Linked DNA regions of Mus musculus: all the other regions are reported to be linked to region 4. The links are microRNA targets in miRTarBase. Many come from high-throughput screens and were not tested one by one. Region 4 holds a microRNA gene; each other region holds the end of a gene's coding sequence. Distances are between the middles of the regions.

Region 1 (4,068 bases), not on the chromosome of region 4:
AGAGTTCCTATAGAACTGAAAGTAGAACCAAGGCTGAAAGCAGAGGGTTTGGATGTCCATATCACAAACCCTTTTTTTTTTTTTGAGACAGGTTCTTACTATGTAGCCCTGGCTATCCCAGAATTCTCTATGTAAACCAGGCTAGCCTCAAATTCACAGTAATCTGCCTGCCTCTGCCTCCCTATAACTCAAGGTATGCGTCACCACCCCCACCTCCAAACCTCTGATGTGGTGTATTGAGGCAGAAGTGTGTGAAACTGGTTCACATGTTATTTGAATGTCACCCTTCATGTATTCAATACTACAACAACCACCAGTTCAAATCACACAAATTATCAAACTTCTAAGACGAGACTCCAGAAGGTAGGTTCAGCCATCTCCAGAATAACTCAAAGCCACCTATAAGGTCTTTCATTTTAACAACGCTCCCTGAATGAGTGTTTTGTTTCTTCTTCTTTTTTTCACAGTGGCTGAGTTTTTCAGTACTCTGAAGTTACATGCCTGGAGAGGTCTAGTGGAAGAAAACAGCCAATGACTACACTTAGACACTTTGTATCTGGACCTTGAACTTACGGGAACATTGACTTCATCGGATGATTATAACTGAAGAATATAACCGTCTGGGATAGATGAACTTTTCACATATCAGAGTAACATATTTGCATATTATTAAACCAAATGCAAATGAATTGCATAACCCTTGGTAAGGTCAGAGGAAGCGTTACACCTGTAAATAGTATATCCTTTTTACTTCTACACATTGTCCTGGCCATAGCAATATTAAATCAGGAAGGAATGCAGAGAGCTTTAAATAACTGGGCAAATAGTAAACCAATCTCAGAGGCTACAAGGCCTTGATGGGAATATTTGAAGAAATTTTAACTTTTAAATGCAGTGGTGGCACCTGCCACAGCAGCCCAGAGACTGCCGCTTGCCCTGAGCGAACTGAGAAATACAATGACGAAGTAGTCTGATGGAGGCATCTAAAGAACCCAGTCTGATGGAGGCATCTAAAGAATCCAGGAGCCAGGAGTGTCTGACACAAGGCCAACCTGGGCTGCCTAGCAAGACCCGATCTCAGAAAATAAATGCCAATTTAAAAAAAGGGCATGCTTGCTTCCATCATTTGGTTCTAACAGAAGATGGTTTTTATATACCTTTAGCATTCTTAAACTCAAGTCCTTGACCATATTTGGCCTTAGACACTTAGGTCTGACAAGTAGTAAGTAATGAGATCACTCTGACCAACTGAGCCAGGTGTGCCGTCTGCAAGAAGATCGTGATAAACCCCAGGGACTGTGCCTACAGCTGGGGAGGACAGGGCTCAGAAGATCTTCTTAAAACAACCAAGCTGGCTTCTTCATCCTGGGAAAATGCTAGCAACCATACAGACATATTGCCTTATCTACTTCCAAACGTACTGTTAATAAAGAGTTACAACACAGTCGCACCATGCCTTGTTTTTCTTCATAGAGCATGGCCCCCATGGGAGGGCTGAGGAGCACACAGGTAACAGCTGGGTTCTACTTACGTGAGGTCTGCTGCTCTGAAGGTTCAGACACTGAGAAGGCATCTTGCCTATAATTAAACTATGGAACTGTACAACATTTTTAAAACTCTAGTTCAGAAGTTCTGGTCACTCTGGCAGAAAGGACAATCCTAATTCCACCTGCTTGGTCTGGTTTAGGACGGTTTTGGGGAAACCCCCTATATCATTGCTGGCTCCAGAGCTTAGGCCTGCTCCCATGGGGATGGGGGGCCATTGTGGGAGCTGAGAAACCCACATAGTAAATCACTAGTCTAGGGCTAGACCTGTCGCTGGTGATCCTTGAAGAATCACAAAATGGGAAGGGAAGAAAGAAGGCAGCATGATGGGAAAGTGCTACCCACTATTTCATGGACAGTTTTGTGGGCAGATCCTCACCTCCTAGGGGTAGAGGATATATAACAGGATTGCATATAGTCCAGACAGATCTGGACCTATGTAACTAACATTGGCCTTGAACTCCTGATCCTCCTGCCTCCACCTCCACAGTTGGGGAATTATAGCACCATTTCAAGTAGTAGATGGGTTTCTCCAACACAGCTAAAGGTGGGCTGGGAAGGTTAAGAAGTTGGGAGAGTGTGTATGGAACTAACTCGGGTCACTGGATTGAGCTTTCTCTGTTCAACACTGAGGGGTTTCAGAATAGGGGGGAATGGGTTGTCTTGGGAGTATGGGTGACCAGAGTAGTGTTGGTGAAGGACTGAAGATGGGATTGGATGGAGGAAGGTGATAGAATGTTTGAAGTCTGAGGTTAGGAGACCTAGCAGGGAGAGGGTGGTTATTCCAATAAGGGCAGCAGTTCTAGACCTGGGTGGGAGTGAGGGCAGGGGTCCTGCTGTAAGAAGCTGAGAGGAGGGTGGTCTTGGGTGAGGTGTGAGCTGGCCCCTCCCAAGTGGCAGAGGCTACTCTTGACATCACTAGCTGGCAGCATGTAGCCAGCCCATCTGTCGCTCTCCCTGATGCCAACTTTGCTTTGTTGCAATGAGGACAGGGTTCAGTTCCCTGCATCTCATGGCAGCTCACAACCTGCTGTGACTCCAGTTCCAGTAGATCCGATGCCCTCTTCTGACCTCCATGGGCACTGCATGCATGTGGTGCACAAGCATATAAGCAGGCAAAACAACAATACACACCAAATAAAAATAAGTAAGCCTAAAACCAAAAACCGGTCGGTGCTCATTTTACAGGGAGGAGATAGACTCCCATCCTTTTTGATCCCATGGGAACTGTTCTGGCCTGCATCTCACCACCACTCCTGTAAACCTCTGCCCTGAATTGCTAGCCCACACCTGCCTTAGCTCTTCTGTGGACCGGACACACTCATCTCTTCAGTTTTTCTTCTCATAGCTTCTCCTCAACAGCATCACAATCACACTCCTGCCCCATCCTGACCCGTCCTTCCCCGGCACCAGGGATTCTAAACTGTCCTAGCTAGATTCACTTCTTTGTTCCCCAAATCGCTTCTCCACCTGGTACCGTCTAGCTAATTAACAGCCTATCAGTCTTCTCATGTGGCTACGGTCCAAGTTATCTGTCATGGGTGCTCCTAGGTACACCTCCAGCCTCCAGGCCCCCACCGCCCACCCCTGCCAGGCTCTGCTGCCTTTCATTCCACTCAGTTCTTCCTCTGACCTGAGTCCACATTCCCCTAGTTTCCTCCTGTCCCTTGCTTTTGTCAACTGTGACTCCAGTCACATGACACCACCTCCAGCCAAGACTTCACCTAAAGTTTACACTCTCCTCCTTAGCATGGCCCACTGCACAAGGCTTCCTTCTCCCTTTTGTAAAAACAAAAAGCACCTATAAATCCTGCTGTTAGACTGGCTAGCACACACACACAGAACTAAAGAACAGTTAAACTGTTGGATAAATTATGAGTTTGATATAGCCATTGAATCCTAACACACAATAGCAAGCAAGCAACAGAATACAGAATTGTTTCCAGCAGGCTCTCAGCTATGCAAAAAAAAAAAAAATCTAAAAACGAGACTACAAAACATACCCAACAGTGTCTCTCCAGTGTCCACTGCCTACTCTACACAAGACTTCCTGCTTTGTATGTAAAATTTGGAGTGAAATTACAAATGAAATAAATTATATGTACTCAAGTAGTATTAAAAGGAGAGAAAGTATTAGACTGAGTTCTGTTGTAACAACCACTTGTGGCTTATTTTCATCATGATTTGAAGACAGATTGACAACCCACAATTCTGAGGTCTTAGAAAACACTGAGTACCAGAGATTATTTCTGTTGAGTCGATTGTTATGTAAAATCTGGCCAGAATCGATGCCTTCATTGTGTAATTCCTGTTAAAGTCTCATAGGCATTGTTTAAGATGGTTTGCATATATGAGGTCTATGTGATTAGTTTGAACATCTGTGAATCCCAAATACATCTCTAGTGTGGGTGGACAAGGAGTTGTAGAATTGTACTGCAGAGGATTAATGTTGCTATACACAACTTAGGGGTGTGAATAAAAAGCTGCTACTTAGGAACCTTAAAAAAAGAAAAAGAAAAAAAA
Region 2 (4,068 bases), not on the chromosome of region 4:
TCAAGCCTGTTCGGTGTTCAACTACCATCTGAGTCCCCGGACTTTCCCCCGTTACCCAGGGCTCATGGTCCCACCGCTGCAGTGCCAAATGCATCCTGAGGAGCCTTCCCAGTTCTCCATCAAGCTGCAGCCCCCGCCGGCTGGACGGAAGAACCGCGAGAGGGTAGAGAGCCGGGAGGAGGCTGTTCGCGGCTCTGTGCCCGCCAGCGCTCCTGTTCCCTCTCGGATTAAGGTAGAGCCGGCCACAGAGAAGGATCCTGACAGCCTCCGGCAGTCAACCCAGGGAAAGGAGGAACAGACCCAAGAAGTGGACAGCATGCGGAGCAGGACCATAGAAGAGGGGAAAGGCACCGGGTTTGCCCACCCCTCACCCACCTGGCCCTCTGTGTCCATTAGCACTCCCAGTGACGAACCCCTAGAGGGGACCGAAGACAGTGAGGACAGGTCTGTCAGGGAGCCCGGTGTACCCGAGAAGAAAGAAGACGCCCTGATGCCCCCTAAGCTTCGGCTGAAGAGGCGGTGGAATGACGACCCTGAAGCCAGGGAGCTCAACAAAACGGGCAAGTTCCTCTGGAATGGGGCAGGACCCCAGGGCCTGGCCACAACGGCCACTGCTGCCGCTGATGCTTAAAACCACAGTGGAAGGGAAGCTGTTCATATTACAATCAAAATACATATTTATGTAGCAAGATTCTGGGGCGGGAGGTGGGGTTCAGCTGGTTTGATAATTCTGGGGCGTGGACTTGTACTTTTCTGTTGGGGATGGGACGAGGATCTTGTGTTGTATAAATAAGTGGGGTATGGACACTTTTTTTTCTTGGCGCGTAGGACATAGGGAGGCTATGAACTTTGGGGAAGGAGCCTGTTTCCTGTCCCCTCCTGCTGCCTGACAAGCTCCATAGGCCCATACACTGTAGTCCCATCACAGGTCAGGCCCTATAGTCTTTCCTATTGTGTTTATACATACAGAAAGCCCATAGTGGGATAGTTTGCTTTGAGAGGGAGAGAGAAGAGGAAGAGGCTGGAAGGTTAGGCGTGAGAAACATACTAACCATGTACCTGAGTATGTGTTTCAGGAGAGGAAAAAGTTCATCGCAGTCTTACCGAAGTGGGGGGCATTTAGATGGGGTTCTCTACTCCCCTCTCCCCCTTCTCCCTCACTGGAGTGTGTGTGTGTGTGATGTGTGTGTCTATGTGTGTGTGTGCACACACACAGAGACACACACATGCTCTCTCCCATGCATGCACTCTCTCTTTCTCTCCCTGGGGGGAGGGTGACACACGCACATTTGGCTCCCCTCCCCCCTTTTTAGAAAATGTTTTCAAGACACATGAGTGTACTGCCAGTTATACTGGGCAGGGAGGGCACCGGAGACCCCCCACCCCCGGCCCCTCAGCTTCAGAGTTGAGGTGGGAAGGCAGCCTGGCTGCGAGGTCCTCAAACTCTCACCTTCTTCACCTTCAAAAAGCCATGAGGAGTTGTAAACTCTTGATCAGGGAAGAAAGAAGAGGGCAGGAGGAAGTAACCCAATGCCTTTAAAAACAAAACAAATGACAGAAATAGTCTTCATTTTCTTTTTCTTTTTCTTTTTCCATTGTTGGTTTGGTTTCCCAAACCAAGCGTGACTGAGCACGTTTTATGAGGAGCAGGATAGCGCCGTTGAAGATGTTTTTCTGTTGTGTCTGGTTGTCTTACTGTTTTCTTAAGTCGAGCCTTAACTACGAACATGCTTTAAGATGATACGGGTCTGTCAACATAAACCTGTGAAGGGCATGGACGCTGTTCAGATAACCCAGGAATGTTGAGGCACAGTCGAATTCCTAGCTGATAGTTATTCCCTCTGATGTTGCCGGTCCGGGTGGCAAAAGGGCAGAATTGTGGGAATGAAAGGCAGATGATAACCTGCAAACTCAATGTACTGCTTGTCGAAACTGAAGGAAGAGGTAGGAAGGTGGTGACCAGATGCCAAAAGGTCTGGTGTAAAGGAGAGAGCGGTGTTGCCTGCGGTGGTGTTGCCCGCCTTGTGGTCCCCCGTTGCCCAGATTGTTCTGATCGGTCGACTGTTCCCAAAATGCAGTTCACCAACAGGGGTCATTTGTCCTTGGGAAATCCCCTTACAGCAACTTCAAAGGAATGGGAAGATACTGATCTTAGGTGAAACAAAACACTAGCACTAGGGTAGAGAGAAAGCGGCACCAGCCAACGGCCTCTGTGCACGTGTGTGCTCTAGTAGCTCAGAGCAGCAAGAAGAAATGGTTTCCTATCTGCTGAGGCAAGGGATGGCACTCGGGCATCAGAGTGATGACTCACTCCGTCCGCCACCTGAGCCTGGCCAAGAACTCCATACTAAGTGACATTTGAGTGTTGTCTTCTGATGGAGTGTTTGGGTTTGGTTTAGTTTGGTTTTATTTTCTTTAACTGAAATGCATGCACAAAAGGAGCTCAGGAGACATTAGACCTGGTGAAAGGTGTGAGCTGACGTGGATCACTTGAGGCTGTCATTGCTGTTTCTTGATGAGTGTCCTATAACTTGGTCCAGATTCCACGCATGTGTGAAAGGCCAGGAAGGGGGCCGAGTGGTCTCTGGTGACCCAGGCTCTGGTCGGGCCACGAAGGACTTCAACCCTCCTGTTGCCTTTGGTGGTTGTGTTTTGATCAGTTTCCTTCTCTGCACCTTGACGGACCTCTGAATCAGAAAGCAGGCCCAGCAGGTAGAGGAAGGCTCTCTGGTTGGTGTTGCCCATCAAACCAGGGAGGCCAGCTGGCCACCGGTTGTCTGCTAGTGGGGACGGCCAGCGAGCATCAGTATGAACTCAGGAATAGAAGCGTGGGGCCTTTAAAATGAGGGCAGGAAATCCATGATGCATACCTGAAACCCCTAGAACCCAAGTGCCGGAATTCATTCTAGATGCTGCTTCCATTTGAATAAAGCCACTGCTTTTACACTTGAAAGTGAACTCCATGAAAAATGCTTTTGGACTTTTATGAAACTATTTGCCGTTTGTTTCCCTTGATTGCCATTCCACCAGTAATCTCTTGGTTGATTGGCACTGCACACAGTTGGAGTCTGGATCTGGGGAAGGGTCTGTCTGCAGAGCAGAACTTGGGCTCGCTCAGGAAGTGGACCAGGAAATGTAGTGATCACTGATACTTCCTGGGGCAGAGGAGTGAGAGTGCTCGTCTCTCCCCAGCCCCAGCCTGGCAGTTCCTGCCTCCAGCCTGGTGTCACCTTCTTTCTACGAGCACGCCATTGACCATCAGCCAGGCGAAAGGGGGCTAAAAGCCGGGCCTACTTCCTCTCCCTGGGTTTTTTCTTCCCTCTAAATTTTGTTGTGCCAAATGTGTAAAACTTTGTAGGTGTAAATCTATTGCAATCTCACTAATCAAGAGCTTGTTTATTTAAACAGTTTGCTTTTTTAGCTGTAAAGAGTAGCAGACTCTCGGGGCATCAGCTCTGCTGTGCTCGCGGGTCTTCCTAGACATCAGGCTGCACTTCTAACCCCAGCTCGGGAATGCAGGGAACCCTAGTGACCCATAGGCCAAGAAACTTCCAGAAGCATTAAAAAAAAAAAAGTTATATTCCACTACCAAGTGGATAGTCATTTAGCTGTTTGTCCCTTGTTTTTTTATTTATTCCATAATTATGTTTGTGCTTTTTCTTGTGTGAACAGTAGTGGTGAGGCCTATGTTTTTATGTGGCTTTAGAGAAAACTTCAGTCTTCAAAGAACTCTTCTAATTAGTTCCTTCTTAGAAAAAGTTATGCGTTAATTTGTTTCAAAATATTTAGGCATTCTTTGAATTATAAACTTGTGATGCAGGGATTTATGAATGAGACGTTCACATGTGAAGATGACTTCACTAAGCATCTGTGTAAGCAGAATAAGATGTGTATATGTACATAAACTATAAGGAACCTGAACACCATTGTGCAGTGCCTTTTAGATGTTCTGCTTTCTAAAGTCTTCAAATTTTTTGCATATATATTATATATATGATGTAATGTTATAGAAATATATGTATAATATACATATTTTTTCCAGGGGTATCTGATAGCTCTGTATTTTGT
Region 3 (4,068 bases), 110 Mb from region 4:
GAGGAGGGGTTTGAAGTGCTCCAGGAGGGGTTTGAAGTGCTCCAGGAAATGAGTGGAGCCTGCTTTCCCTAGGCAATAGGCAAGTTGCTCCCTTTCCAAGAGACTCTTGGGGTCCTGCTTAGCTCTCTGGTCTCCAACTCAGGCCCTGCTTAGCTGAACTAGTTGTGAAAAACAGACACCACTCCCATCCCTTGCCATGTATGGGTAGGGCAAGAGCCCAGATATTCTTGTTTCCAACTAGTCTGCCATTAGCAGAAGTCAGGAGGTACTATAATCAGGGCTAACCTCATCTAGCTGCCAGAAAGCCCCACACCATCTCTCCTTCAAGTCCCACTTTCTCCACAGCTCTTAAGCAGAAACAGAAATCTCTGGCTCGGGTTTTTATGGGGAATCACTGACATTTATTGTCTCTTTTGGCCTCCCTCAGTTATTTCCTTAACACAAAGGTCATGGTATGTCTGTACCAAAGCCACCCACACCCTGAAAAGATTCATTTCATGACTCCTTTCCTGGGTTGGTAGAAGTGCCTGGTGCTTCAGGCATAGAGGCGGGGGCATGGCCAGGTATTGTAAATAAGGACAGAAGAGAGGCAGGCCTCTCTATCCTTAAACTGCCAGAGATAAAGGCTTTAAAGTGTCCATGACCATTTTGAGGCTCCGGCTGCAACCGCATGTCATGTCCTTTCCTGTGGACCACAGTCATCTAGGTGGCGAGGCAGGGACAGTGGCTAGCAAAAGTTCCTAGGAGACTCTTTTCATCTCTTTAACCATAACCCTTTCATATAGCTAAGGGTAGTGGTACACAGAACCCCAGGACAGGCAGGAGGCTCACTTGAACTCAGCATCGTGAGACCAGTTTAAGGTACCAGATAAGACCCCCATCTCGACCAGGTAATCTCTACTGCCTTCCCTCCCTCACACATCCACAGCTGGAGGCTGCAATGACATCCACAAAGGTGAATTAACTCCCAAACGAACAGGCCATGCTCAGACCAGAAATTCCAGAACCAGAGGTGACGTAACTGTGGTGACCTGCTTCACCTCAGATAGATTGTAAAAGAGATCTGACTCAGAGATGGCTAAGCCCAGCCCCCTTGCTGAACATGGATAGTTCAGCACCTGGATCCCAGGCTGAAGCTGGGGCTTTGGGTAAGGAGGGGCAGAGTTCTAGCTGGCTGAGTGCTTTTGGGCTTAAACCATATTCTCTGCTCGGAAGCCATCTCCCCATGCCTCAACAGACATGCCTCAACTCAAGTTCTGGATGCTTTTCACTGGCAGAAGATCTTCAGGACAGCCACAGACAGACAGCTAGGGTATCACAGAGGGACCAAACTGGCATTTTAGAACCAGGAAAAGTGAGCCAACTTTACTTTTCAAACAGAGTCCCTCCCTCTTACCAATTCCACATCTTCACAGGAGTCTTCTGGCCATAGTGAGCTTCAGGAGGCACAAAGCAATGGTGTATTAGATTCTGGGATTCCCAGAGCGATGATGGAAATATTCTGTGCTTGTGAGATCAGCCACACATCCACAGCCACAGATGCTGTGCTGGCCACAGATGGAGGCTTTTGTGAGAGGAGTGTTACTCTTTTTTAACTTTCTGATTCTTTGTGAATTTCACATGTACTCCAATCCCATTCAACTCCCCAACTCTTCACATCCACCCTCTGCCCCCGCAACCTCCCCCTCAAAGGAAAACAAACAAACAAACAAACAAACAAACAAAATACTGTTGTGGAAGTAGTAGTGCATCAGTGTGTCCCACAGTACACCCCTTTGTCCACACGTCTTTACTTGGAAATGTTCATTACAACGAGTCACTGGTCTGGATCTGCTACACTATCAATACTGGATTCTCAGTGGGACGCATCTTGGATATTCTCTTGTTGCCCTGGGTCATGCAGCTTTGGATCTGCAGGACTGGCCCTTTTATGTGCTCCAGCAGTTAACAGATGGGGTAGATGTTGGGCTGGGCCAACTCAAAGCCCTGGATCTGAGCCTGGGTGGTAGCCGAGTTGGTCAGCCCACCAGCTCTCCTGCACCCACACCACCAGTGTGAGTTCTCTAGCACTGCTCTGGCTAGCTGCAGCAGGCAAGGAGCTGGGCCAGCCCCCCGACTCTCTTGAGAGGAGTGTTATTTTTACTGTTTTTCATAGTTACTAGCTGTCTTATCTTATTCTTCTCTCTTAGCTAAGCTACTATCCCCTTACATTTCCTTTAGTCTTCAGAAAGGGAAGAGGGAGGCTCAAGGAAACTTGGTTTTTCACTTATGTTTATTGAGAAGCAGCCTCCATCATCCTTAGGCTGGAGCTACCCTGTTCCCTCTATGAAGGGCAGGATCCTGGGAAGAAAGGATGGAGTTTAGGGAAACAGAATTAAGTATGCACACCACCCAGGAGAAAATACAGGCTTTATTCTACTGCTTCAAACACAGTTCATAAGAAGGGATGCTACAAGCCTACCAGGTAAAAGGGCAGGACTCACATGATGGCACAAGTTCTGGTCCTGTCCTATGGGGAGTGGCCTGGCATCCCAGTGCCACTCCCGAGGAAGTACATTTTAAGGTGGTGCAGATGGGTTCATGGGCAGCACTGTTTTTTTTTAAACTTTATGTATGGGTGTGTGGCCTGCATATATGTATGTGCATGTGTGTGCCTGGTGTCTGTAGCCTCCAAGGCCAGAAGTTGCTGTGTACCTCTTGCTCTGCGTACCTCTTGCCGGCTCCCTGACATACTCAACAGAGCTGCTCCTGCATTACTCTTTGCCATTCCTCAGTGCCCCACAAACCTGCACGCCATCTCATCACTATTGGTTTCTGGTCAGCTGTTCCCTGTGTGCAGTGAGACATACTTTACCAAGCTATCCTAGCTCGATCCTCCAGTCTTGCAGAAGAAAGGCCAAGGAACAACTATGGCCAGGAAAACAACAGGACAGAAAGTGGCTAGAGTGGAGGAAGATGCTCAGCGCTCACCTATAAAGACTCAACAGCCTGTCCAATCAACAGCCTGTCCAAGCAGCTGGTGAGTGGCCGAGGCAGGCACTTCTAGAGAGATCCTGCCTAGACCACACACCCTGCACAGTGCTGCCCCGGGGAGGTACCAAAGCCTACACCTACAGAGACTTGTGTTCTCCTACACATCTTAGTAGAAAAGTTCAGCTCCTGAGACCCTTCATACAATGTCCATGACACCTGCTCATCAGGGCCTCCCATTTGCCACATTTAAGCATTAGTTACTCTACCTCCCACTCTACACAGTGGGAGGGGAAGCGTGGACGGTACAAGGGAAGAGATCCAGGGGTAAAATAAATAGTGAGGAAGAAAAGGCGACTGAAAACGGAAGGGATAAGCAGGGAGACTCCTGGAGAAAACACTGGCAGTATAAACAGCCTGCGGTCAGTGGGCTGGCAAGCTCTAGTGCTGGGCTCCCATGGGACTCTCCAGGCCGCCATGCTGGGGGAATCTTGTGAAGCTGTGTAGTTATTGTAATAGAAAACTCACAGTCAACAACCCCATGGGTACAAACACTTGAGATGAAATCTCCTTGTCCAGATGATTGGTATACAAAGGCAAGATGGTGCATTTCCTCCTGTCCAAGCAGGGGTTAAACTCCTGGAATTGTCTGCAACATAACAGCGTAAGATATAACTAATCTCTTCTAGTAAAAAGCCGGCAATGCCAGGTCACAAGTCCAGTTAATTCGGAGATGTTCCAGAGAGCAAGGTGGCCAGCATCGTCCCTGGTAGCAGTGCACGGTTCTCAAGGTGGCTGCTCCTTCAACTCTCTGGGAAAGCTGAGCTGTCCACTGCTGAGTGCTTGGGCTGCCGGGCTCAGGTGTCGGCTGAGTTTACCTCTTTGGAGCAGAAGTAGTGCACAACCACCCCATTGGGGTATCTTGCAAATGCACTGTGTGGAAGAACAGCTGAGAGTGAGTGGTGTTCTATGTCTCCTCCAGCACCTGCAAGAGGCATCAGCCCCAGAAGCCACCCCCAACCCAAACAGCAGCCTACTCCAGTACCTCTGGACCAGAGCAGGAGCTATGCACCACCCAAGTACACGCAAACAGCTTTG
Region 4 (4,068 bases):
CCATGTGCAAACATATTACAGATTGAGCAGGGTCGGGAGTTCAAATTCATGCTTAACTTCAGCTGGACATCATCCTGGTATTCATGTGATGCCACCCGTGTATGTGCATGTGTGTTTACGTCCCTGTGTATGCACATGTGTGTATATAAATATACATACCATAAACATACATGTAAATGCAAGCACACAAACATGGAATGGCATTCATTGATACATTTGAATGATGTGTGACATAGAGCTTTAAAGATTATGTAGTATTGGGCTAATGAAACTTTTTACTCACAATGTGAAAAAGCTTCCCATATTCAGAAGGATTAGGAGTTCAAATTTATGAATAACTTCAAAATGGCTTAGAGATCAGCCTGGCTTTATGGGTTCCTTCCCAGTGTATGTTCATGTTGCATAGTTTTGTGTGCTAATGTATGTGTGCATATGAATATACATATAAATACACACAAACACATACACACAGGCACACACACACACACACACACACACACACACACATACACACACACACACACACACACACACACATACCCCGAATGGCACTCATTGATACTTTTAAATGACATGTGACTTAAAGTTTTAGAGATTATGCAGGGCTGGATCAGTGGGTGCTCTCACTCACAAGGTGAAAATGCTTGCCAGAGTCAGGAGGATCAGGAGTGGAAATTCATTCTCAAATTCATGAGTCCAGGATCAGCTTCGGATTCTAGTGATGCCCCCAGTGTATGTGCCTGTGTGTATATGTATGTGTGCATGTGCATGTGTGTATATGAATATACATATACATACACACATACCCATACAAACATGCACACAAACACACAGAAAATTGACACTCATCGATCCATTTCAATGATATGTGAGTCTTAGAGATTCTGTATGACTGGGCCACAGAGAGGTCTCACTCACCAGGTGACGCCCCTTGCCAGAGCCAGGATGATCAGGAGTGCAAATTCATGTTCACTGCATGATGAGGTAGAGATCAACCTGGCATTCATGTGATGACCCCTATGTATGTGCATGTGTGTTTGTGTGTACATGTACATGTATATATATATTGATATACATATAAATACATGCACACATATTCATGCATGCACACGCACACATTAATGGCACTCTTAGATCCATTTGAATAACATGTGACTTAGAGGTGAGAGATTATGCAGTACGGGGACAGTGAGTGTTCTCACTCATCAGGTGTAGACAACTGCCAGAGTCAGGTCTATCAGGAGCTTAAATGCATGCTTACACTCATGAGGACTTAGAGATCAGCCTGTGATTTATGTGATTCCCCCCATGCATGTGAACGTGTGTATAGTTGTGTGTGCATGTGTGTATATGAATATATATAACATCCACACATGTATAAATGCAAGCACAGAAACACACAAACATAGGAATGGTACTCATCGATCCATTTGAATGATATATGACTTAGAGTTTTAGAGATTATGCAGTAGAGGGACAGTGAATGGTCTCAATCACCAGGTGTAAATGATTGACAAAGTCAGGAGGATCAGGAGTTCAAACTCCATTTAGAGATCATCCTGGTATTCATTTGATGCCACCCATGTATGTGCACGTGTGCTTACATGTGTGTGCATGTTCATGAATGTATATGGATATGCATGTGCAGACACACACACACATGCAACACACACACAAACACATGGTGACTTGCATTCATCTACTTGCATAATATGTGACTAAGAGTTTTAAAGATTATGCAGTACTGTGCCCGTGCATGCTCTTACTCAACAGGTCAAAGTGCTTGCCAGAGTCAGGCCTTAAAGGTATGTGACTTAGAGTTTGAGAGATTATGCAGGGCTGGATCAGTGGGTGCTCTCACTCACAAGGTGAAAATGCTTGCCAGAGTCAGGAGGATCAGGAGTGGAAATTCATTCTCAAATTCATGATTAGGTAGGGATCAGCTTCAGATTCATGTGATGGCGCCCCCCCCCCCCAGTGTATGTGCCTGTGTGTATATGTATGTGTGCATGTGCATGTGTGTATATGAGTATACATATACATACACACATACCCATACAAGCATGCACACAAATACACGCAAAATCGCCACTCATGGATCCATTTGAATGATATGTGACTTAGTCTTAGAGGTTCTGTATGACTGGGCCAGTGCGTGATCTCACTCACCGGGTGAATAATCCTTCCAGAGTCAGGAGGATCAGGAATTCGAATTCATGCTTAACTTCATAATGAGTTAGAGATCAGATGCGATTCGTGTGATGCCCACCAAAAATGTGCATGGGTGTATAGTTGTGTGCATATTCATTTCTCTATATGAATATGCATATACACGCAAGCACACACAGGAATGGCACTCATATATCCTTTTGAATGGTATGTGACTTAGAGCTTTAGAGTTTATCCAGTAACGGACCAGAGCTATGTCTCAGTTAGGAGGTGAGTATTCTTGCCAGAGTCAGGAGGATCAGGAGGTCTAATTTATGTTTAACTTCCTGATGAGTTAGAGATCATCCTGGCATTCATGTGATGCCCACCAATAATGTGCATGTGTGTATAGTTGTGTGCATATTCATTTCTCTATATGACTATGCATATACACACATGCATACAAACTCACATACAGGAATGACAGTCATATATCCTTTTGAATGATATGTGACTCAGAGCTTTAGAGCTTATGCAGTACTGGGCCAGAGCTATGCCTCAGTTAGGAGGTGGATACTCTTTCCAGAGTCAGGAGGATACGGAGTTCAAATTCATGTTTAACTTCATGATGAGTTAGAGATCAGCCTGGAATTCATTTGATTGTCCTTGTGTATGTGTATATATGTGTAGGTAAGTGTGCTTGTACATGCATGTATATGAACATACACACACACATACATATACACATAAGAATGGCAGTCATAGATCTGTTTGATTTATATGTGCTTAGAGTTTTATAGAGTGTATAATTATGGGTCAGTGTTACATCTAACTCACCAGGTGAAAACCACTTGCCAGAGTTAGAAGGATCAGGAATTTAAATTCATGCTTAACTTCCTGATAAGTTTGTGATCATCCTGGCATTCATGTGATGCCCACCAAAAATATGCATGGGTGTATAGTTGAGTGCATATTCATTTCTCTATATGAATATGCATATACACACATGCACACACACACACACTCACACACAGGAATGACACTCGTTTATCCTTTTGAATGGTATGTGACTCAGAGCTTTAGAGCTTATGCAGTACTGGGCCAGAGCTATGTCTCAGTTAGGAGGTGAATACTCTTGCCAGCGTCAGGAGGTCCTGGAGTTCAAATTCATGTTTCACTTCATGATGAGTTAGAGATCAGCATGCGATTCATGTGATGCCCTCCCCCATGTATGTGCATGGGTTCATACTTATGTGTGCATGTAAATGTATGTATATGAATGTTCACATACATATACATAAACACACACACTGGCATTCACCTACACGCACATTAGTGGCTCTGATCGATCTATTTGAATGAGATGTGACTCAGAGCTTTAGAGCTTATGCAGAACGGATCCAGGGCTAGTTCTCCCTCCAGGTGAAAATGGCTTCTGTGGAAACCTGACAGCCTGAGTTGGATCTCTGGAACTCAGCACACAGGCAGGCTATGGTGTGATTCTTTTGGTTTTTCGTACACCTGATGATTTTCTTTGAGTTTTCAGATTGCAATATATCTTAATTTAAAATTTATCGTTCATCTGGCTCGGGAGACTGGAATACCTCCCTCATTAATAGCTGTCTTCTCTTTCATTCTCTATGAAAAAGGTCACTTTTAATTGAATGGGGTTAAGAGGTAAAGCTGGGTTGCTCTTAATATTGAAAACATTTCTGGTCGTTAAAAACTAAGAATCCTTTTGCTTATTTAATAATTCTTTAAGAATTTTTTTAAAGTGTTGTTTTTCCCTGTCAACACTTGATATTTATATGATATTAGAGTCTATTTTTGGTGATATCTTTGTCTCCTAACATAATTCAAACTAGAATGCTGTGCTTGCTTTTACACAGAGAAGTGCTTTAATTGTTGTACGAAATGTGT
Region 5 (4,068 bases), not on the chromosome of region 4:
AAGATTTGCTTCCCTTCACAGTAAAAACACCCCCAGGACACCCAGCTTGGGCCTAAATGGAGATGGTACCACCAGTTTCTCTAAGAGTTGGGAGTTCTCTCAGTGCACTGGTGGAAGGGAGAACGTTGGGCGGAAGGCACAGAGTGGCCTTCCCAGAGAAGCTCCTGGTGTGCAGGCAGATCCCAGAACCACACACATACACACTTGCACACACACAATGGCACACACACCCTGGCTGGGCCGTGTTAAAGCTCAGCTGCCTTCCTGTTTAAGTTCAATCTGTAGGGTGGGAAGGAAGCACAAGTTGCAGAGCAGAGAAAGCAGTGCCAACGTTTGAGATCAAAGCTGTGGGGCTCCCATCCTGCTTAGTCAAAGACAGTAAGGGAAGATATCCTCACCGGGCGTGGTGGCACACACCTTTAAATCCCAGCACTCAGGAGGCAGAGGCAGGCAGATCTCTGAGTTCCAGGCCAGCCTGGTTCACAGAGTGAGTTCTGTATAGGACAGCCAGGGCTACACAGAGAAACCACAGCATGAAAAACAAAAACAAAAACACCCAAAAGACTCAAAGGGATCCACCCAGCTGCAGCCTTCACGCTTGGAAGCTGAACTTGGGGTGCACATCCTTTAATATAAAACATTTCCTGAGGGGCCAACAGGGTCACTCAGTGGGTGAAACTGAGCCAGACTCTGGAAGCCACATAAAGGTGAAAGGAGAGGACTCCATAACTTTGTCTTCTGGTGTCATGGCCCATGTGTGTCCACATACACACGATACAGAACAAAAACTTAAGACGTTATGAATTTTTACACAACTGTGTTCTTCATATAACATACCAAGATCACTTAATATCCCCTCTCAAGAAAATAACAGCAACACAATTTGAAATAACTATGAAATACTAACAGGGCTAATTCATTTTCAACTGAGTTCATAAACAACAGACTCCCGTAGCACAAGCAACCAGAAAACAAAACATCACTGGGGATTTTTTGTGGACGGGAAGTGACCAGGGCAGGTTCTCGTGTACCCTGGACTAGCATGCAACTTCCTATGTAGCCAAGGATATCCTTGATGTTCTAATAGCCCTGCCTCCACCTCTGGAGAGTGCCGGGACACAGGCCCGTGTCACCACACCCCATCCAAGTTTATGTTGTCCTGGGGTTTGGTTCCAGGTCTCTGTGCATGACGGGCAAGCTTTCTACTAAATGATCTACACCCCAGGTCCTGGAATGCATTTTCAAAAGGCAAAAAAAGGGAAAAGAAAAATGGCCACAGTTAGGCATGGCGCCACAACCTGGTAACCTCAGCATCTGAGAAACTGAAGCAGCGAGTTGGGGGTGGGGTAACACTTTAGAGTCACCTTAAGCCACAAAGTAATATCAAATTAAAAAAACCTGTCATGGTTCAACCAACATTTTTCTTCTGTGGTAGATGTGTAGTGAGAGTGGCAGTGTTACCCTGAAGCCTGTTTGTTTTAGAGCTAGTGTACAAACTTTGTAAGAAAGTATACCATCTCTAAAGCAGTCTTAGAAAAAGACAGCTCCCTTGGGCTTCAGACACAAACCATATGCACTCAGCACCTCCTCCGGGGTTCTGAGCAGATCCCCAGTCCCAGCAGGCAGCTGCCTTCACACACTCCTAGCCACCTTAGATCATGTTCTCAAACAATGCAATCCAAGGACAGAATAGGAGTTTCTACTTTGTATACCTTTCATAAAGACAGGCAGCAGACATGGGTGCTGCACACCAGGGTTTCTTGGTCTGGGTCAAGTCAGTAAAATGGTTTGGTCGATCTCAGGGAGGCCTTGGAGGAAGGGCATGAAGGTGTATATTAGTTGACAGGTCGAGAAAGAAGTGCAACCCGTGGTTGGAAATGCCTGGGTCCTTCTTGCAGACGCTTGGGATGTGGGGGTCCAGGTGCTTTATAGCTGGAATGCATGTCTTCAATTCCATCATCACAATGGAGGTAGAGGGAGGAGCAGCTCTAGGAATTCCAGGCCAGATTGGTCAACATACTGAGCCCCAGGACAGCCAGGACCCCATAGAGACCCCCTCAAATCAAAAACAGAAACAAAAAAAACCAGATGGCACAGCTCTCAGGAAGACACACATAGGTGGGAAGTGCTTTTAAGACTACAGATGCAGTGATGGCTAACCCACGGACACAGACTGTTAATATAATGATGACTGTAATGGTTTCTGGGAAAGATAGCCCAGGGAGAATGTCATGAAACACAGGGAAACAAGAACAGAAAGAGTATCACTTATTATACGTGATGATTAAAAAATACAATCACTTTATTTCCACTTTTTCCCAGTCCCCTGTAGCACAGGTGAGAACCCTCTAAAGCACAAAAATATTTCAAGAAAGCATGTTACAAGATACTAGTATATGCAATATTTTGGCAGAACTTTATTTTCTCTAGCAGTTCATACCCCCCCATCCAAATTTTAAAATTCAAAAATAAGAGTTAACTTTATCTAACATGTTACAGCTTAACATTTAAAACATCATGCTGGATCTGGGAGGAGATGGGGAGGTGAATACAATCAAAACACATTGTATGAAATTCTCAAAGAATTAAAAATGAGAAAAAATAAAATATCATGCTCTAGTTAAATATTTCACAAACACTGTATACAAATAAAATATTACACAAAATATTTTTTAAGAAAATGTTTTGGTGTTTGATCTGAACAATAAATAAAAGCACAGGCACTTCTACACTGAGACAGGGAAGTGTCACTACCCAGAATTTTATCTAAGGAATACGTGATAATATGGCAAGAATAGAATCTTGGGGTTTTAACTGACTAATCACGTCCAAAGCTCAGAAGTGGCGAATGCTTCCCAGTCTCTGAACACTCACAGACCCATGGCTGTCGGGCTACTCAGTCTCCAGTTGGCCATTAGGGAATCACACTCATGATCTTCAAATACTAAAAATAGGTTAACTACCATGATGCCACCCAGGAAACCAAACACAAGTAAAAAGAAAATCCCCTCTGTCCTCATGGCCATAAGCCCTGACAAGATGAACTACACGCACTGCGTGGCTTTCCTTGCATAAAGGAAGTAACGGTTTCTAGTAACAAGGACAATACTGCTGGGTGACGGGAGATTGACATCAGTCTACTTTCTAGACAACTTTCAAAATCTTATGAAAATACATAGAATTCCATTTCACAAAGCCACCAGGTTGTGTCCTACATATATATATATGTATGTATGTACACACACACATATATACACACATACATACATAATTGTGGAGGAGAAAGAAAACAAATTAGAAACTGAGGACCGGCAGCCAGAGGAAGGGTCATAACCACTCACCCTGCCATGCTGAGCTGTCTTCAGCCTTCCCTCTTCACAAGGCAAGGGAAGGACTGAGGGCTTGGGAGCCCAGGGGCTACCTGCTCATGAAGGCTAATAGCCTCACACAGAACTCACCTATTGTGAGAGCACACCATGGGAACTAGTCAGGCTAGGCCTTTCTGTGAAATGCAGCTCATGTCTATTTCAGCATTTTAAATTAGGACTTTGCAACTGAGACCAGATATCAATCATCTCTTGAGGTTTTCTGCTATGTACTAACATTAGGTCTATATAGGAACAAATATTTTTCTTATTTTTCTCTTCAATATCAAATGTCCTGAAGCCTTTGTGCTTCTCTGGAACAAGGCCCAGTTTCTGAAGGCACATTCCCGTATAAACATCATCAATAGGGTAGAGATGGACCCGGCTAGTCGCACTGTACAGCCTCAAGGCAAGGGGGCCGGAGTACAGGAATCCACCACCCCCGGCATACGGTGGGTAGACGCCGGTGTAGAAGACTTCTGGGATGTAGTACTTCAGTTTCTTATCCCGGTGAGGCCCAGCATTGTGGATCACGTCACCTATGAACAAGTCTTTGGCTTTGCTCTTGGATAAGCTATTCAAGTAATTAAGGATGTGATGGGTGTTCACAAACACGTCATCATCGCCCTTGAAGACAAACTCTGCGTCTGGACAGGAAGTGCTCACCCACCTAAGAAACAGCACTTCCTTCAGGGACAGGTTG
Region 6 (4,066 bases), not on the chromosome of region 4:
CTGGGGACCAATGGAATTTACACCTATGGTAACCAGCTCTTGAAAAGCGTGGCTGTAACAATAAATCCTCCTGCATTCACCCTGAAGCCCAACACCAGGAAACAACAGAAAACAAAAAGGAAAATGGCTTTTTGTGCTACGTCAGAGTGTTGGTGGGAGGGCCACTCTCTAAGCATCACTAAGACCACAGAACAGCAAACTGCTTTTACAGGGGACAAAACCAACACAGTCCGAGAGGACAGAGCACCCTTGCTGCACACCAGGACATCAGACTGCAGAAGGTGACTCCAAAGGAGGAAACAAAAAAGCAAGCTTTGCCAAGAGCCAGGAAATGTGCTCAGACAGTGGGGTTTCTGTTTCTGTTCAACACAGCCTGTTCATCCCACAGGAACTAAGAGTTCTCTCTGGTCAGGAAGCAGCAGAGAACTCAGCAGCAGGCTGTGCTCAAGGTTCCCACCGGTGGTCATTTTCCTACCAGTGTCTAAGTTAACTGGGAGCCTGGCCTGGCTAGCTGCTGGCCCTTCTTTGAGCTTCTTTTCCTTCTCTGACTTCTCGTCCCTTGAAAAGGGGATGTGTGTGGAAGAAGGACAGGAAGGGACAAGATATGTAAATCAACTGTTTGAAGGAGAAGGCTAAACACTGATTATCTATGGATTTCGATTGTGTGTGCTTTCACCTTGCTACAGTGGATAACGAAAGATCAGTCATACTTTTAATCTAGAAATGTTAATATTTTCATCATATATATAATTTTAAAATCTAGCTCTGTACTGGACATGAATGCTATAAAGCAAGCTTTTATATCAAATCATTAGGCCCTGAAAGATGATTTCTGCCAGTGGGAAGGAAGGGTTTTGTTTGTCCTGAAAAGCAGGTAAAGTTTCAATCTATTATATACTGGTTTGCAGTTTTCTGTAAAGTGGAAAATACCTTATCGTAAAGAAAACATCATTTAATAAGGTATTACATTCCCAGATAAGTTAGCGTATATGGGGGGGGGGGCTGTATTAACATTAGGTTTCAATTCTCTACCTGGGCAACACTTTCAAGTGGACTTCCTTATTCCTGGGCAAGACATGCAAATGGGAGGCAGTACAAACAGGGATGGGAAACCCTCAGCTCCTAGCAAACTGAGGAACAGACCTTTTTTTTTATAACTAGAATAAGAAAACATGGACCTGAAAGAAATCCAGCTTTACCAAGAAGTTGGCTTATGATCACACTAAAAGTTCTTGGCATAATTCTACTCTAAGGTAATAAGTTGACTTGCCCAAGACAGGTACAAAGAGTGGTGTCACTGCTTTACACTCGTCGATTCTACATAATCTGTACAGACCATATGTTTCTACATATTGCACTTCTACTTCCAGGACTGCAGGAAGATGTCTGGGCGCACCTCAAAAAGGCAGGGGGGCAGCAGGCATCACAACCTTCCCACACCAGGTGATGCCACTGGGAATCCCGAGTGCTGGTTATAGAGAAACCAAAATGCTGGTGACCCTTAGAGAGGATCCAGTCACCTTCCTTTAAGTCCTTCTCCACAGTCATTTGGCATCCAGAACATGTGCGTGAGTGGCTGCGGCATTCAGCTGCTTCCTGCACCACTTTCGCTAGTGTTCTATTCAAAGACACTTTAGACCCAACATGCACTTCTAAGATACAGAAGGTCGTTGATGTCAGGCCTCCAACATCCATCTCAAAGAGACTGCCTTCAACTGGCTTAAAAAGGATGCCAACAAGTGTTGGCTTGAATCAGCCCCCTTTCTACAGCTTTCTAGTGTAACAGAACCAGAGTCAGCCTCAGTTGTCCAAGGACCATGGGAGTCAAAGCACAGAGGCTGAACATTGCCTTTGGTCCCTATATAAACCAATGACAAATATCCTTCTGTCACCCTAGAAAACATGGCTTATTTAGTTTGGGATACACTTCCACCATGTGTCCAGGAGACCTGGCCCAGAGTCACAGTTTTGAGCACACAGTGGCTCAGGCTGACTTGCTCTGGAGAGGGGTCTTATGAGGAGTGCGCCTATCGGTGGCAGGAAGTAAAAGCCACACCAACAGGAAGTGGCCAGAGCTGGGGGTTAAGACCCCAGAAACGCAGGTCCATCCCCTCACTCAGAGATAAGGGCTTCACTCAGGACCACAGAGCAAAGGCTCCACTAACTTAACCCACACGGATGGAGCATAAGGCCTGTTGGGAGCCAAAGGGAGGAGACCTCTCTAAGACTGCACACCGGGCAGGAACGTTTTTTTACTGTAACTCAAAGGTGACTTTTATTTCATATCAACTAAAGAGATCTCTTTTGGGCTAAAAGAAAATGAATAATATTAAAGCTAGGTGGAAAAGAGGCACTTAAAGGAAAAATGTGTTTGAAATCTCCTACATGTCTCCTCTGCAAGGAGCCTGCAGGGGGGACTGGCTGCACCCTCCTGCAGGCCTCTAGCATCCTGACTGCACCTATGGACACCCATAGGCTTACACAAGTCACTCCTCAGCTCTTCTAGCTGCCTGAGGACAAAAGGAGTAAAAACGTACGTTACTTTTCTCTCCAGAAAGGAGGAAACAAAATCTCTCACCAACAGAAGCGAATCACCCTGTCTCACCCCTTCCTCCTGCTGGCTCTCCAATGACCCCTGCTTCTTGAGAAGGAGACCCTGTACCTTTTCCCTTAAGACCTTCCTCCAGTCACTAGGCAACCACAGCATCGTGAACACAGAAGCGGACAGCAAAGGAGGCAACAAGCTCAGGAGGCAATCAAGAACCAACAGTTTAAGAAAACGCAGGGACATGGTCCAGAGACTTAAAGAGAAACAAGTTCTAAAAAAGCAGCAGCTGCTATGCTAGTCAAAGCCAGCACCCCAAGCAGAAGGTAAGACAGTTAAGCCTGAAGGGTGCGGGTGCTGTGCTCTATCTACTGTCCGTAGACATTTACATCACACACTTAAGAGTCTACAATCCCCCACCAAGAAGTCAAAGACATATTTAAAGCCATTAATAAGCACAAGGGAAGTTCAGAACTGCCTGGAAAGAACTTGATGCCATATACATTTAATTTGAGAGACAACAACAGAGGGTGATGATGACAGACACACTAAACATTGGCAGGCCAACGCTAACCACCGGAGCGTTACAGGATTGAAGGGATCGCTAATCAGACGTCACTGAGCTGCCTGCTAGTGTCAAGGTCAGGCATTTTTACAGCAAGTCATGAAGCACCGTTGAGTCCAGCCACTCCGCACATCTCAGAAACACTAACTCAACATCCAGACTTAAGAACAACCTGCTAGGCTACCAAGACTAGTGTTCTCGCTCTATCTCCCAGACCAAGAGTTGTTGTTGCTGGCTTTTTAAGCTTTGTGTTTGTTGATGATATTTTAATCTGTAGTGTTAGTTGACATGGTCAATATGCTCAGAATTAAAAAAAAAAGGCAACAATTTCTCTCTCTTGATTCTTAACATTATTAAGGGACTTTCAGACATTCCCTCAACTCCATCAAGAAAGAGGGAGTGCATAAGTGTGGGGTGCATTATGAGGGGCAGGAGGGAGGGGAGCAAAGAAGAAAGCACATGAGAAAGTGAAATGTCCATAAACTAAACCCATTCACAAAAAGGCATCTGATGTATTTTCTGAATAAGGCCTTGATCAGGGTAGCCAATCCTCTTTGTAGCACATTCTACACTGCCCATAAATAAAGGAGTCTCTTTAAATTAACATTTCCAGTATCAATGAACAGTCCAGAAATCTTCATTTCAAACGCTCGATGAGTTCCTGTGTGAGTCCAAGGTGCAGGAGCTGTGTTCGGGAGAGGTTTGCTAGGTTGGGGAAGGCCGCGAGCAGCTTCTCCCATGCCAGTTCCAGCAGGCTAGGTACCACCAGCCAGATCTTAAACAGCGACCCAGTCCGTTTGTTTTCATGGATGTTCACCACTCCTCCGTGGATGTACATGCAACCAGCCTGTGAACAAATGGCAGTGAGAAGACGACAAAGTCAAACACCAGAGCAAGAGTGACCAAGGCAGACTCAGCAACGGAAACAAAACCAGCCCACAGGCTGGACATACGAA
Region 7 (4,068 bases), not on the chromosome of region 4:
TAAAATAGCAGCTCCTTTTACTCTGAATTTTAAAGGAAGTTATTATGTTTTTCCAAGTGAACAACCAATGAAAGAGATTGATCGCTAGCAAATTATGATGTCACTCAGATAAAGTGAAGTAGCTTTGTCTGACATTCATGTGTCTGTGTTGGCTTTTACCTGAGCTTTGCAGCAGAGGCTTAAAAATGAACAAATTCTTATTAGAAGGTCCAACGCCAAGGAAAACTGTGTAGAACTTTAACTACATGCTATGTCGGGAGTTAGAGACAAGGCCTTATTAAAATGCCTCCCTGCTTCTTCTCCTGTCTACACTCTGACAGACATACCGGAAAAAGCCAGTGAAGAAAGAGCTGCAAGAGAAAGAAGTGAAGAATGGTTTCCCCAAAGCCCACTTAATTGTGGCTAATGGCATGACGGACAAGAAGGCTCAATAAAATGAAGTGCCGGGGAACACAAACTGAGGTGGTGGCGGCGGCGGCGGCGGCAGCAAACAGACGAGCTTGTTTTAAAGCAGAGACTGAATAGAAAGTTGTATGTTTTAGCATAAACTAATTCCTTTTGAGTTTGTAAATCATTTGTACCCAGAATGTATTATAATATATTGCTATTAGGTTACTCTACTAACTGGAGCCATGCCGACCTCTACAAACCTTGAACAGGTGCACAGCCCCCTCTCCGGAGCGCTTTGTAATGCCTTATTCACGTCGAAAACCAGGAGACTCGGGCTTCGTTTCTTCATGGCAAGTCTTCAGAGTTAATTTTCTTTAGATGTGTAAAACTGTTCATTGTAGTGTAAATGTCAGGGTCTGTTCTAGTCTATGTCAAGCAATAACTGTCAGTGCATAAATCGATTAGTCTGCTGTTGCTTAAGGCAGCAGCCCCAGGCAGCATTTAAGCGGGATCCTTAGCAAGACAGAATCCAGCAAAACCCTTTCCCCTCTCAAGCCAGGAGTCTCATCTGCTACATTTTTTTTAACCACCTCTGATTTCCAACTTAGTGATGTGGTAATGAAATTCGTTTGTCTTCAATATAGTTTGAAGATTAGTCATTCCATGAAGGAACAGCCTCTTGAGCTGGGTATGGTGGCACCCATCTGTGAGTCCAGCATTTGGGTATTGAGACAGCCTAGGGTACACAGGCACAAGACCCTGTCTCAACCAGAAAAGAAAAATGTGTTTGCCAAATCATAACTCAGGGGCTTTGAACAGAGCTGTCTCTGTTTCAATTGGCATCCTTGCTCATCCATTCCTGTCTACCTCCCTTGTTAGTCTAGATTTCTGGAGTTATGTTCCCCACATCCAAAGCCAGTGTCTACATACAGCTGCCATGCCCTTTCTGAACAAAGGCTGGAGTTGTCCAATTGCAGTTCTTCTTCGCATAGAAATGCAATTGGAATATTTACAAATCATAATCAACAGAGCCCCAGGGGCAAAATAGACATTCTATTTGTCAGCTGTTGCTGCTGAGCCTGCTGGTGAACACCATTGCAAGCAGTTGCTGAGCCTGCTGGTGAACACCATTGCAAGCAGTTGCTGAGCCTGCTCGTGAACACCATTGCAAGCCATTGCTGTCAAGCTTCATGAGTTAAATTTAACTGTTAGAGAGGAGAAAAGCATAGCAGTCATTTGGAACGATCTCGTGGGGTGGGACTAAGCCATAATGATGTGTCTGGCTCAAGCAGCAATGCTGTCCCTGCTCAGAACTGTGGTCTCTGTGGAGAACCTAGTACAGAGCCTGAGCAAGGCAATGGACCACCTCCTTTTCCTCAAACTGATGGATCACCACTGTTAATCTATACCAGGTGTGAAAAAGGGCATTTCCCAAAACATACACAAAACACAACTTACTCTATTTCCCCTCCATTTCAGCAAATGTGTTCTTGGTTCATGGCACTGGCACCCAGCGCATGGGCACCAGGTAGGTGTTCCTCGAGTGCCAACGGCGGGGCCTGCCCACCCCTGTCTTCCTTTCTGGGCAAGCTCCCATTTTAACTTTTCCCTGTTAAAAATTGTACTGATGTTTTAAACTCGTAACTATACCACCCTTCTCACTGGTGTATTTTGAAAACCACCACAGTCCGATGTCCTGTGCCATGTCTGTCATTCCTGTTGAACAGACTCTTCCTGTCTGGTGACCACCTATGCTTCAGTGCATTTTCTAAACAATTTCTCAAACTGATCTGCTCCCGGGTGCTTTCTTACCACCATCTCTGGTGACTTAGCCTCAAATTGGTGTTTTTCTTTCCCAAGAATTCATCTTAAGGGTTAGCTTTGAGTATGTTACTGTCCTTCTATGACAAGACCAAAGGAACAAACTCCTTGGTGAATCTGGAGTTCAGCTTTAGTTTTCAAACACAATCTGAAATCTGTTAGTAAAATGAATTCTGGGTAAAAATGAGACTCAAGAGGCATCACTGGCCATTGTACCAGATTATTCCTGCTCGCCAGTGAGAGGCGTTTAAGTCGCGCTGTGCATCGTACCTTCAGTTTAGGCTGTTTTCATGACCTCACATCTGTGTAGCACAAAGGGTGTTATCTTCCTATAGCAGATCAACAGTGGCAGCTCACAGTACCAGCCAGCTTTAGACCTCCCAGTGCAAAGCCCAGCGCAGCACTAAGCCTTAAGCCACCCAAGGGCTGACACACCATGCAGAGCTACGAAATCTGTGCTGAGAAAATGCCATCTGGAAAGATTTTTAACCCATTCATTCTTAGTGTGAATTTTCTAAAATAGAAGTATAAAAAAAAAGTCTCTATAATCTGATAGGAAACCGTCTTTTCCCAAGTGAATTCCCTTTTATTCATGAGAACAAAAGTACTTAGATACTATAAAACCTTAATTTCCCCAACTTTTAAAATAAAATGGAATATTTGCTGAATGAATTAAGCATAGAAAATGTCAACCCATCAGAATTATATTTATACATATTGGTGGATAAGTTCTTGTCTTCCCACATCAGAGAATTTTTTTTTAAACCAAAATGGGCAGAATAGCATTTTGTATGTTAGAGACCATTCTTTTCTAGTCCTTCCAAACATTCCTGTGTCACTTAAGAATGTTAGTAGAGGTCGCTTCTTTGGAAATTGAGGACTTTTTTTTTTCCTTTGAAAGTATGGCATCTGAAGAACACAGTATCATGACTCGGGTGGAAAGGGAGGCAGAAGCCATTTTTCTTTTAGATGAAAAGCATTCTGTGTGATTGTTGTATAATAAATTGATTTTTACACTAAAACATCTTGCAACTTTTCTTATTTGGTTCAAAGAAACTAAAATGTGGGCCTGTGCAGTATTCCAAGTGGCCTATTATTCAGAGATTATTTACCAATAAAGTGATATATTAGTGATTAATCTTAGATTCTTAATTCATTTCAACAAGCAGTGGGATGTTAAAGTAACATTATTAATGCAATACTTATATACCCAGTTAAACTATCTCAGAAGGAAAAATTAATAGCAATCAGATAAGCAGAGGCTACAACTATTAGAAACTACTTACTATAAAGAATAAAAATATATCATGATGCACTATATATATTATAGTACAGTAACTATACCATAGCACACTACACTATGCAATGGGAGCACAAGTGACATTGGTTACCAATACTCTGGGCACCTGCAGTGTCAGCGGCGATTTCTTCTCAGGAGCTGAAGCAGGGCCACAGTCTACTGTTTGTCAGCACAGAGGCTACACTGATCCACCACAATGAAGACCCCAAGGCTGGAAGTAGCCTCAATAGTTATGCTCAAAATCTGACCTAAAATTGCTTCCATCCCAAGGTAGAAATGGTAAGGGCAAGGGAGTTAGGAAGGCAGGGTCAGGGAAGGGCAGAAGGAACTTGGAATGAGTGGGGACTAGAGTTTAGGGAGAGGGTGAACATTTTGAAGAGCCTTTTTTCACTTCATGATTTTTAAGATGTGGTTGGGATAAATCTCATTCAAACTTTGTTTTTAAAACTAAAAGGCAAGGAGGGGTGACCCATCCCTGCAATCCCAGCACAAAGAAAGCTGAGGCAGGAAGATGTCTCCGAGTTAAAGCCACTTTAGGATACAGGAGGTTGGTTCCT

Evidence for each region. The annotated mature microRNA mmu-miR-297a-5p reads AUGUAUGUGUGCAUGUGCAUGU and lies in region 4 at 1,998-2,019, shown strand. An mRNA with a match to its seed (bases 2 to 7 or 8) in the 3' UTR can be bound and repressed. Matches are read on the target gene's strand: a 7mer-m8 pairs with bases 2 to 8, a 7mer-A1 pairs with bases 2 to 7 and ends in A, and an 8mer does both.
Region 1: miRTarBase lists Capn2 as a target of mmu-miR-297a-5p. The part of its 3' UTR that is shown has no 7-base or 8-base seed match.
Region 2: miRTarBase lists Etv3 as a target of mmu-miR-297a-5p. Seed matches in the 3' UTR shown: 7mer-m8 at 962-968.
Region 3: miRTarBase lists Vps39 as a target of mmu-miR-297a-5p. Seed matches in the 3' UTR shown: 7mer-m8 at 2,636-2,642.
Region 5: the mRNA of B3gnt2 is a reported target of mmu-miR-297a-5p. Seed matches in the 3' UTR shown: 7mer-m8 at 3,231-3,237, 7mer-m8 at 3,227-3,233 and 7mer-A1 at 2,565-2,571.
Region 6: the mRNA of Klhdc10 is a reported target of mmu-miR-297a-5p. The part of its 3' UTR that is shown has no 7-base or 8-base seed match.
Region 7: miRTarBase lists Elovl2 as a target of mmu-miR-297a-5p. Seed matches in the 3' UTR shown: 7mer-m8 at 1,315-1,321 and 7mer-m8 at 1,827-1,833.

Annotation. Positions count from the first base shown.
Region 1 is chr1:182,464,635-182,468,702 of GRCm38, reverse strand. It overlaps Capn2 (calpain 2), which reads left to right. Exons shown (of 21, transcript NM_009794.4): 21 at 468-1,450. The coding sequence ends at 491. Among named protein-coding and RNA genes, the nearest start is that of Capn2, 51 kb to the left of the region's middle.
Region 2 is chr3:87,536,022-87,540,089 of GRCm38, forward strand. Etv3 (ets variant 3) reads left to right here. Exons shown (of 5, transcript NM_001083318.2): 5 at 1-4,068. The coding sequence ends at 631. Among named protein-coding and RNA genes, the nearest start is that of Etv3l, 12 kb to the right of the region's middle.
Region 3 is chr2:120,314,207-120,318,274 of GRCm38, forward strand. Vps39 (VPS39 HOPS complex subunit) reads right to left here. Exons shown (of 25, transcript NM_178851.4): 25 at 2,255-3,903. The coding sequence ends at 3,828. Among named protein-coding and RNA genes, the nearest start is that of Pla2g4f, 2.1 kb to the left of the region's middle.
Region 4 is chr2:10,515,080-10,519,147 of GRCm38, forward strand. Mir297a-4 (microRNA 297a-4) reads left to right here and starts at 1,988; the gene lies at 1,988-2,085. All of the region lies in intron 10 of Sfmbt2 (Scm-like with four mbt domains 2), which reads left to right. It overlaps Mir297a-3 (microRNA 297a-3), which reads left to right and starts at 741; the gene lies at 741-842. It overlaps Mir466l (microRNA 466l), which reads left to right and starts at 1,018; the gene lies at 1,018-1,138. It also overlaps Mir669i and Mir669h.
Region 5 is chr11:22,832,466-22,836,533 of GRCm38, forward strand. B3gnt2 (UDP-GlcNAc:betaGal beta-1,3-N-acetylglucosaminyltransferase 2) reads right to left here. Exons shown (of 2, transcript NM_016888.5): 2 at 2,274-4,068. The coding sequence ends at 3,528. Among named protein-coding and RNA genes, the nearest start is that of B3gnt2, 25 kb to the right of the region's middle.
Region 6 is chr6:30,450,378-30,454,443 of GRCm38, reverse strand. Klhdc10 (kelch domain containing 10) reads right to left here. Exons shown (of 10, transcript NM_029742.3): 10 at 1-3,957. The coding sequence ends at 3,748. Among named protein-coding and RNA genes, the nearest start is that of 1700012C14Rik, 8.6 kb to the left of the region's middle.
Region 7 is chr13:41,181,660-41,185,727 of GRCm38, reverse strand. Elovl2 (elongation of very long chain fatty acids (FEN1/Elo2, SUR4/Elo3, yeast)-like 2) reads left to right here. Exons shown (of 8, transcript NM_019423.2): 8 at 321-3,346. The coding sequence ends at 434. Among named protein-coding and RNA genes, the nearest start is that of Elovl2, 37 kb to the left of the region's middle.